2 linked regions of the Neurospora crassa OR74A genome follow. The main gene of each other region encodes a partner of the protein of the gene in region 2 in a complex. Links are inferred from orthologs where the notes say so. Each region holds a gene or a part of one and is shown on either strand. Other genes may lie near its edges.

Region 1 (3,604 bases), on a different chromosome or scaffold from region 2:
AACGAGCAGTAGTGTGAATATTTTCATCACAGTGTGCCGGCAGATTTTGTGCCAGCTGCACAGGCTGACAAGTCCTTCCAGCTCTCCAACGTCATTGTGTCAACGGCATAAAGTCCAACTCCCTTACAAACCTTAAGTGGGGAGAAGGGGGGGGGCGGGGGGGGGGGGGGGGGACGACGGGTACCCCAGGTTTCTCCGCAAGCGGAGCGTGGCTTGCAACCTTGCCGTGAGGTTAAAAACTTCTTGACAAACTGAAGACACAGATAAAGCTAGTGATAAATCCTGTACGGAGTATCTGACTGAGACTCTGTAAACTGGGTGCCCGATATTCTAGGTTTTCCGGACGTGAACTTCCCGTGAAATAACTTTTTGCTATCTTTTCTTGAAACGCATACCTCTCCCGCCTTGGTCGAATCATCTGCGATTGAAGATGACTCTTGAGGGTTCATCCCACTGATTCCACTACTCCCCGGCCGAACTCGACCGTGAGTTTGGTAGAAGGGAGATCTAGGTCCGAGACAGCAAGTATTGAGCACAAAAGTTGGGGGAAACGGACTGATGCATCGGGCGCAGCGTCGGTAATTTTTTTTATTTTTCTTAGACTCTTGTTCCTCGATCATGAGTATATAGAGCAGCCCGAAAATTGAATCGTGCGCAGGATCGCTATCAATGAATGAACTCCCTCCAAATGCCGCCACAAACAATGAATTGGTATCCCTAAACTCCGTGTCCCAGGTCCAGCAAAACAGAACTGCTCTCTCTTTTTCACCAAGCACCCTCACATTCGTGGGTTCCCAATCTATGGGGCGGCATTCTCCCGCACGACGCGCTTGATCCGACGTTCATATTCCTGACGATCTTTCTTGAAGAGATTGTACGCCTCAGCCTGGGCTGGGGACTCGGGATTGGGGTCATTGAGCAAGTCCTGGATGCCGAGCAGGATCTGCTTCATCGTGATGGCCGGCTTCCATGCCTCTTCTTCGTTGAGGATCGAGAGACAGACCGTGCCTGATGGGTAGACATTGGGGTGGAAAAGAGGGGGGACGAATTTGCCTGCTCAGACGCCAACATGTTAGCCATGTGATCGTAGCAAGGGGGGATGGACGAGGGCTAGCTTTCGGCGTACACTTGGGGGGTTTCGTGGGATATTCTGCATGCAGGAAACGTCAAGTCAGCACGTGTATTCTTCTGACTAAAGACACCGACCGGTGCAGGGCGCATACCATCAGGGAACGTGACGGTCAACTTGAACAGACCACCCTCCCAGATTGTCTTTTCTTTGCCCGGAATACCACATTCCCAAATCTTCAAGTCGAGCACACCCTGCTGGTTCTTCTGGGGACGGGCATAGAAGCCAAAGGGATGGTCCTTTCGCCACTGCTTCCTAGAGGGAGAGAATAAGATTGTCAGTCTGCTGGACGTAGGTACACTGTTGCGCAATGCTTTGCGGCGTACCGTTCCTCTTGCAAGCGGTTCTGGCACAGCGCCATGGTGGTTGACGAGGTTGACGTTGACGGGGTTTGGCGTCGGTAAAAGTTGAGCGGTGGCTGATCAACGTGGGATTCGAGTGATCCCTTGGACAAACTGAATGCGACGACGATTCAACTTCGACGGCCGGCTTCTTGCTAATGCAATGACGGCGCCGAGAAACGTGGGGATGCGGCTGAAGAGCTGCTCGGGTTGGTCACGGGGGGGATGGGCGCGGATCAGAAGGTGGAGTGTGGGAAGGTCCTCTGCAGGTAAGAGATCCAATCCTATGGGCCACGCGATATGTAGCAGCGTGGAGTATGTACTGCGTAGTAGCCCCGCAAGGTGAGAGGTGAAGGTGATTTGGGGTTTGTAAGGCCAAAAAAGAAAAGATGAGGGTTCGAATATCTGGAGTATATGCGGGGAATGATGCGCAATCCGAATGGAACTATGTAACGAAGTGTTTCCTGGGAAGGGAACCGACTGTGACTGATGTGGTAGACTTCGAATCCTAACGAGGCTGGAGGGAAGTTTCAGTTTGCAACGAAGTGACAGCAAATCGAATGGCAGGCGACACGCTCATTCAGTTATTGCCTGCCGGGCTCGGAGTTCCTGTCGCCTCGAATCAGGAAGGCGGAGAGTGGGTGAAGTGAATGGCATGGAAGCTCTCCTCTGCTTAACTTGTACTCCGAAGCTTGTCAACGGCATTTCACATACAGTAAATGGCCCATTTCAGTGACAGCGTGTAGGCTCCAAAATGAGCTTGATCCGCAGTCACACTAGCATCAGAAGATGGGATGACAGCGAGATGCCTGTTAGTATGGACTTTAAGTGCTCAAGCAACCTGATCAAGGAATATTGTCTGAAGCTGGAGGTGGTGTCCCTCGGCACACAGCGTACCCCGGTGGGCAATGGTGGGGTAACCGCCCTGTTCAAGCAGAGATGCGGGAAAGCGCCATGAGGAGTGAGCCGAATTGCACATGCAAAGGAAAACCCCCTCGTCATCTGAACCCTTCTGGATGTCAATCTCCATCTGACTTCTCTCCCTTCCATGTTTTCTTCCACTGATCACCCTTTCTTTGAAGGTTTTGGTTCGCTATACAATTCTGGATTTGCCTATCCCAGAGAGATTTTGTATACTCTCTTGATAGACCACTCCGCCTTGCATTAGCTTGGTTTCTACCTCAAACAGACAACTTCCCGCTTTTACCTCTCTCAAAGAGGTCGTGCTTCAGCGTGGGGTCAACCTTTTGCCCGAGCATCTGCTTCGTCTGTCGGAACGAGGCGCATCCACGACCGATCGACGTCTTTGCGATTTACACAACATTCTTACACACTCATACCGCACAATGGCTTCGAATAACGCCGGCGCAAAGGAGGAGGTGCCCAGGAAGGCCACCGTGGCCGACGAGTTCGACGATGACGTGTCCGACCCGGATGAGGATGACCTGGATGACCTGGATGACATGCTCGATGAGTTCGCCGCAGTAGACCTTCAAGCCAAGAAGCCTTCGGGGCCAGCAAGGCCAGACGCCGCTGGGGCAGATGGTGCCAAGGGGGAAGATGATGTCCTGTCCGAAGAGGAGTTTGCGAAGCAGCTGCAGGCCGGCATGGCTGATCTCCTCGGTGACATCGAGAACTCGGTAGGCGCAAACAATCGCAATATCCCAATTTCTGCGGCTCTAGCTAACTCTGAGCCAGCCTGAGCTACAAGCCCAGTTCGAGAGCATATTCAAGGAGCTAGGCGCCGCCGCCGCTGCCTCGGGTGCCGAAACACCTGGTATTCCCACCCCAAAGGCCGAGACTTCGACCAAGACTCCTCCGTCTTCTTCCCGCAGAGCCTCGGCCGCGGCCTCACCATCGAGCAAGAATGCCGAAGCTTCCTTTCAAGAGACCATCCGACGGACCATGGAGCGCATGCAGACATCTGGCGAGCAGGCCACGGCCGCTGCCGCAGCTGAGGGTTCCGATGATTTCCTTGCTGAGCTGCTCAAGCAGATGCAGTCGGGTGGCCTTGACGGCGAGGGCAGCGAAGAGGAGTTCAGCAAAATGCTTATGGGAATGATGGAGCAGCTCACACACAAGGACATTCTGTATGAACCTATGAAGGAACTGCACGAGAAGTTCCCGGGCTGGC
Region 2 (4,595 bases):
GAACCCGTATGCAAACAACTGCGTACTTAATCTTGATGGAGGGTTAAGTGCTGTCTGAAACGACACACCGCTTCCCGTGGGTATCTGTGGCTAGTAGGTATAGCAAGAATAGCAAGCAAGCCATGTGGTAATCATAGTATATACCGACCATAACTACGGCCTACGGTAGCAATAATGAACCGCGCACAAGACACGGCAAAGGGGTGATGGAAGATCAGTCATCATCAATCACGATAGCTCCCGCACTATCCTCGATAAAGACGATATCGTCATCCGCCGCCTTGTCGTTGGCCTTGATCTTCTTGACCGATGGACCCTCTGCGTCTTCGGGGTGGCCGCGCTTGAGCGACTTGGCTGGTGTCGTCATTGGCTCATCGCCATCAAGGTTTATTACTCCTCCGTTCTGGCCGTTGGATATGCTGGCACCGTTGGTGGCAGCTGTCGGCGTAGCCACTGGCTCAGGCTGTGACTGCTTCTTGGGCTTGAGTGGGATCTTGACGTCCTCTGGGTCGAGAATGCCCTTGACTGGCTTGTCACCCAGAGGCTCCTTGCTTTGAGGGTGTTAGTTACGAACATGGGAGAGAAAATGGGGACGTACGCTTCTTGGATGGCAACGACGACGTTAACGAAAGGTTCCTCATCGTCTTCGTCGGTGATGGTCAGGAATGAATCGGATTTGATGCCTGTACGATGTTAGCAATTTCCATTGCGATATGGGTAGCAGCTTCCACTGTAATCTGAGTAGCAAAACATACCCAGCTCCGAAAGCTTCTTCTCCAGATTATCCGTCTCATCCGGGTCGTACAGAATGCCAACCTCGTTACTAATAGCGAAATCCTTCTCGCCATACCCCAGATTCGTCTTGATCAAGTGTTCTACCAAATCGTTCAACGTCGCCTTCTCCAAATCGACATACGCTCTCGTCTGGTAAACACCGCAGACCGGGCAATCAGGGTTAGGCTCCCGTGACTTGTCGGACGCCAACATACGTGCATTAGCAAACGGCGTAAGGAAAACCTCCTTGGCCTGCTCGTAGTGGCCCTTCAGGACCTTGAATGCCTCCAGCACGCAAAGACCGGCGACGATGGCGTTCGTTGTCGCAATGGCAGGGATAATGTTGCCAGCCATCTGCTTAATGTCGAACTTTGACTTTCTGTCAATACCGAACACCGCTGAGCGAATGTTGGCACTCGCGGCGACAAAGTCCAGGGTATCCTCATCGTCCTTGTCAAAGGTGATGATGGATTCTTCACCGGCGCTCTTGTTCTCCAGAACCCTCTTGCTAAGTCGCTCGAGACTGTCATTGAAGACGACGAGGTTCTCTTCCAGCGACCACACCTTCTGAGCATCCTTCAAAACCTTGTCCTTGTCGAGCGACTTGGCCTTATCGAGGAGTTCCTTGTAGTTGAGTGGCTCAGGCGGCTTGCGCGTCTTCCACATGTCCTCCATTGAGCGCAACCGCTCGATATCCGTCTTGAATACCTTTTCGAAAAGCATCTGCGCGAACTCTTCTGTACCCACAGAATTCCTGATCTTTCGTAGCGCCGCCGACTCGCGTTTGAGCTCCTCGATCTCCTGCGCATTATCACCATCAACAGTATGATCGAATGCTGACTCGTCTTCGCTCGCTCCGAAAATCTCGTTGAGCAAGTAGCTCTTGCCCCACACTATACAGTGAATAGGCTGGCTCGGTGTACTGCGAATCGTGCATACGGGGAATGACTTTGGCGTCTCCTTGGGCGCGCAATCGTAGCAGGCTGTGACACCCTTTTTGATGACTTGTACCTGGCCGTTGAAGCCGGTTGTTCCACTTTCGATGAGGGGGACGTCGGCGGCAAGACACATCTTGTTGACATGGCGACGGGCTTCGAGGTTGTCGAGCGCGTTGAAGACTATCCGGAAACTGCTGAACCACTCGATATTGAACTGCGCATCTTTGATGTTCGCATGGTGGGCGACAATCTTAACGGCGGGGTTGAACTTTTGCGCAGCCTCCTTGGCTACAAGTGCCTTTGATTTTTTGATATGTTCGTGACGAAAGAGAAACTGGCGGTTGAGGTTGGAGAGATCGATGGTGTCGAGATCGACGACGTGGACTTCACCGAAGCCGGTAAGGACGAGGTTCTTGAGGAGTTCGCAGCCGATGCCGCCGGCGCCTACCATGAGCACGCGCGCCTGTGAGGTGGTCGTTAGCAGAGTCTCGGGGGTTTCTGCGGGAGCTAGCGCGAGAACCGCTTCGGCAGTCAACTGGGAAGTCATGATGGTGGTTGTGGCGCGACGAAGGCAGGAAGGAAGCGTAGATTTGGAATTGGAGGGGCGTTCGTAATGAAGTTCTATAGCAATCCGAGCGATGCCAGTTGCGACGGGGATTGCGACAGCATTGGGAGGCCTTCATTTGTTGCCGAGGAGACGACTTGGGATGAATGAAGGCACGTACCTGCTTGACATTTGCATTCAAAGACCGCCCTAATGATTGCGAATTGTAGCTGTCCCGCGTCAACACCGGCAAGGGAATAGGCTGGGCAACTGGTGCTGGTATTTGCGCCGTCATGGGGACCATGGGATTGCCCATTGCGGGATCCATGGCGAGATTTTGAGGAGGCTTGCGCCCGAGGAGCAAGAGGTGCGACCAGGCTTGAAGGTGGTTCGGGGGGTAGTATTATTTCACGTTGAGCGGGCGGTCACTGTATACCCAGGACAAGATGAAGCCCAGGGCAGAAAGAGGTGAAGAAAATTGAAGCGGAAATTGAAAAAGTTCAGCCTCGTGGATGCAAACTGAAGGCAGTCAAAAGTTGCAACCACCAGGCGCTGAATCGGCGACAGGCAGACCGGAGTTCCTTCCAGGTCAAGACTTCAGCACTTGCTGGGTGGTAGCGCGTCATAACTCCAGCGACACGCTAAAACCGATTCCGGGGTTGGCCATAGACGATCCTTCGACCGGCAGGCACACGGCAACGCAAGTGCCGCGTCTTATTGGTCGCCCTGCTGCAAGCTGCAACCACTTTGTGTTTTTGTGTTGCGGTGGGGGGGTCCACCCATACATAACCCTGAACAAGTCAACAGAGGAACATCATGCAGACAATGAAAGATTGGCTGGTCTGATTCTGAATGGTTGGAGAGAATGGAAAAACGACACAGTAGGGTGAGCAAGACGATATCGAGGATATCATATCTCTCACCGTAAAATTGACCGTTTGTTTTCCCCTCGAGCTTAGGATATCGTATTCTAGAAATCAGTCAACCCATCTCAGGGTTAACCTTGCCCCCTCGACAGTCAGTGTCAGTGCCAACCAAACTCTCAAAATGCAACCTTTCCGTTTTCCCACTCCCTCCGCCCTGACCCCCTTCCTCAGACCTCCTCTTCAACCCTTTTCTTCAAAATCCCAACACATCACTCGTTTCCTTTCAGTCCCTCTATTATTTCCTCACCTCCCTTCACCCATTTCTCTCTCTCGTCCCATCCACACCACCACCACCCCCGTGAATCGAAAAATGTCATACTCCTCCGACGAAGACCAACCCGACCCCGAGCTCCTCGAGCTCCTGCGTCAACACCTCAACGGCAACCAGTCCTCCCACACCGCCGCCGAGACGGGCGTTTTGGAGTCTGCCGAGTTCGTCTACAACCACGCCATTGACGTGGCCCTAGACATGCGCGGGTGCAAAAAGGCCGCCAACACCATCTGGGACCAGATGCAGCAGCGGGAGTACTCGCCCGCCACTTGGTCGACGCACGCGCTCCACCCCAAGGAGAAGAACGAGGAGACGGTCAAGTTCATCTTCACCATGGATCTGCTCAACTTTTCGTTTTGGAGCGAGAAGAGCGAGGAAGACCGGTTCCAGGTGGAGTACAGAGGAAAGAGGTGGACGGGGTACTGGAGTTTGGTGGCGGCGTTGCAGCGGGGGTTAGAGGAAGGTTTGTGGTCTTTCTTGTTCTTGAAGTTTTTTTTTGCTACTACTGAGGAAGATGCTGTTGGAGTTGTATCATAGTTATGTAACAAAGCAAAGAAATACAAAGGAACCCTTCATTGACACTTGTTTTTTGAATCTTCTCGTCCAGGAATCCCCATCACCGATCCCGCATTCTGGATCAATGACGAAAAATTCACCCCGGACGTCCTCCGCACCGTCTTCCGGTCCGCCACAGACGAGGAGATCCCCCTCCTCCAAGAACGATTCGACTGTCTCCGTGAAGCCGGCCAAGTCCTCCACGAGAAATACGATGGTTCTGTCCTGGACCTCATCGACGAAGCAAACGGTTCAGCCGCAGCCCTCGTCAACCTCCTTGCCTCCGATTTCCCTTGCTTCGCTGACATCCACCCCTACCCCGGCCGGCGCCAACCCATCCGCATCCTCAAGCGCGCACAAATCTTTGTCGCTGACTTGTGGGCCTGTTTCGAAGGCCAAAGCTATGGATCCTTTGCGGACATTGACAAAATCACCATGTTTGCCGACTACCGCGTCCCGCAAATGCTGTGGCAGCTTGGCTGCCTCTTGTACGGTCCCACGCTGGAGACGGCGGTGCGCGAGAAGAAGATGATTGAGCATGGTGGCGAGTGGGAGATGCAGTTGAGGGCCTGCAGTATCTGGTGCGT

Evidence for each region.
Region 1: the proteins of NCU03526 (region 2) and NCU04302 are in contact, whole or in part, in a crystal structure (PDB 3ONG), measured with the Saccharomyces cerevisiae proteins. The link is inferred for Neurospora crassa OR74A from reciprocal best matches to the Saccharomyces cerevisiae genes UBA2 and UBC9. Residues at the interface, in NP_010678.3 of Saccharomyces cerevisiae: Asp474, Ser476, Leu478, Gln483, Arg484, Leu485, Leu486, Asp488, Tyr489, Asp490, Phe491, Asp493, Leu494, Leu511, Ser513, Glu515, Glu516, Gly517; in NP_010219.1 of Saccharomyces cerevisiae: Met1, Leu6, Gln10, Glu11, Arg13, Lys14, Arg17, Lys30, Asp33, Gly34, Ser35, Met36, Leu38.

Annotation. Positions count from the first base shown.
Region 1 is NC_026505.1:5,554,542-5,558,145, reverse strand, and holds NCU04302 (ubiquitin-conjugating enzyme E), read right to left. Parts: upstream 1,991-3,604; 5' UTR 1,491-1,990; coding exon 1,456-1,490; intron 1,385-1,455; coding exon 1,224-1,384; intron 1,151-1,223; coding exon 1,127-1,150; intron 1,054-1,126; coding exon 800-1,053; 3' UTR 549-799; downstream 1-548. Other genes in the region: pex19 (peroxin), read left to right, coding at 2,817-3,110, 3,169-3,604. UniProt on the Saccharomyces cerevisiae protein: E2 ubiquitin-like--protein ligase mediating SUMO/Smt3 attachment to septins and PCNA. Seems to be involved in degradation of S- (CLB5) and M-phase cyclins (CLB2).
Region 2 is NC_026502.1:356,801-361,395, reverse strand, and holds the start of NCU03526 (ubiquitin-activating enzyme E1 3), read right to left. Parts: upstream 2,856-4,595; 5' UTR 2,585-2,855; coding exon 2,438-2,584; intron 2,235-2,437; exon of another isoform or gene 2,176-2,234; coding exon 756-2,175; intron 684-755; coding exon 599-683; intron 552-598; coding exon 215-551; 3' UTR 59-214; coding exon of another isoform or gene 1-58. Other genes in the region: oar1 (3-oxoacyl-[acyl-carrier-protein]-reductase), read left to right, coding at 1-58; NCU03527 (hypothetical protein), read left to right, coding at 3,304-3,916, 4,061-4,595. UniProt on the Saccharomyces cerevisiae protein: The dimeric enzyme acts as a SMT3 E1 ligase. It mediates ATP-dependent activation of SMT3 and formation of a thioester with a conserved cysteine residue on AOS1.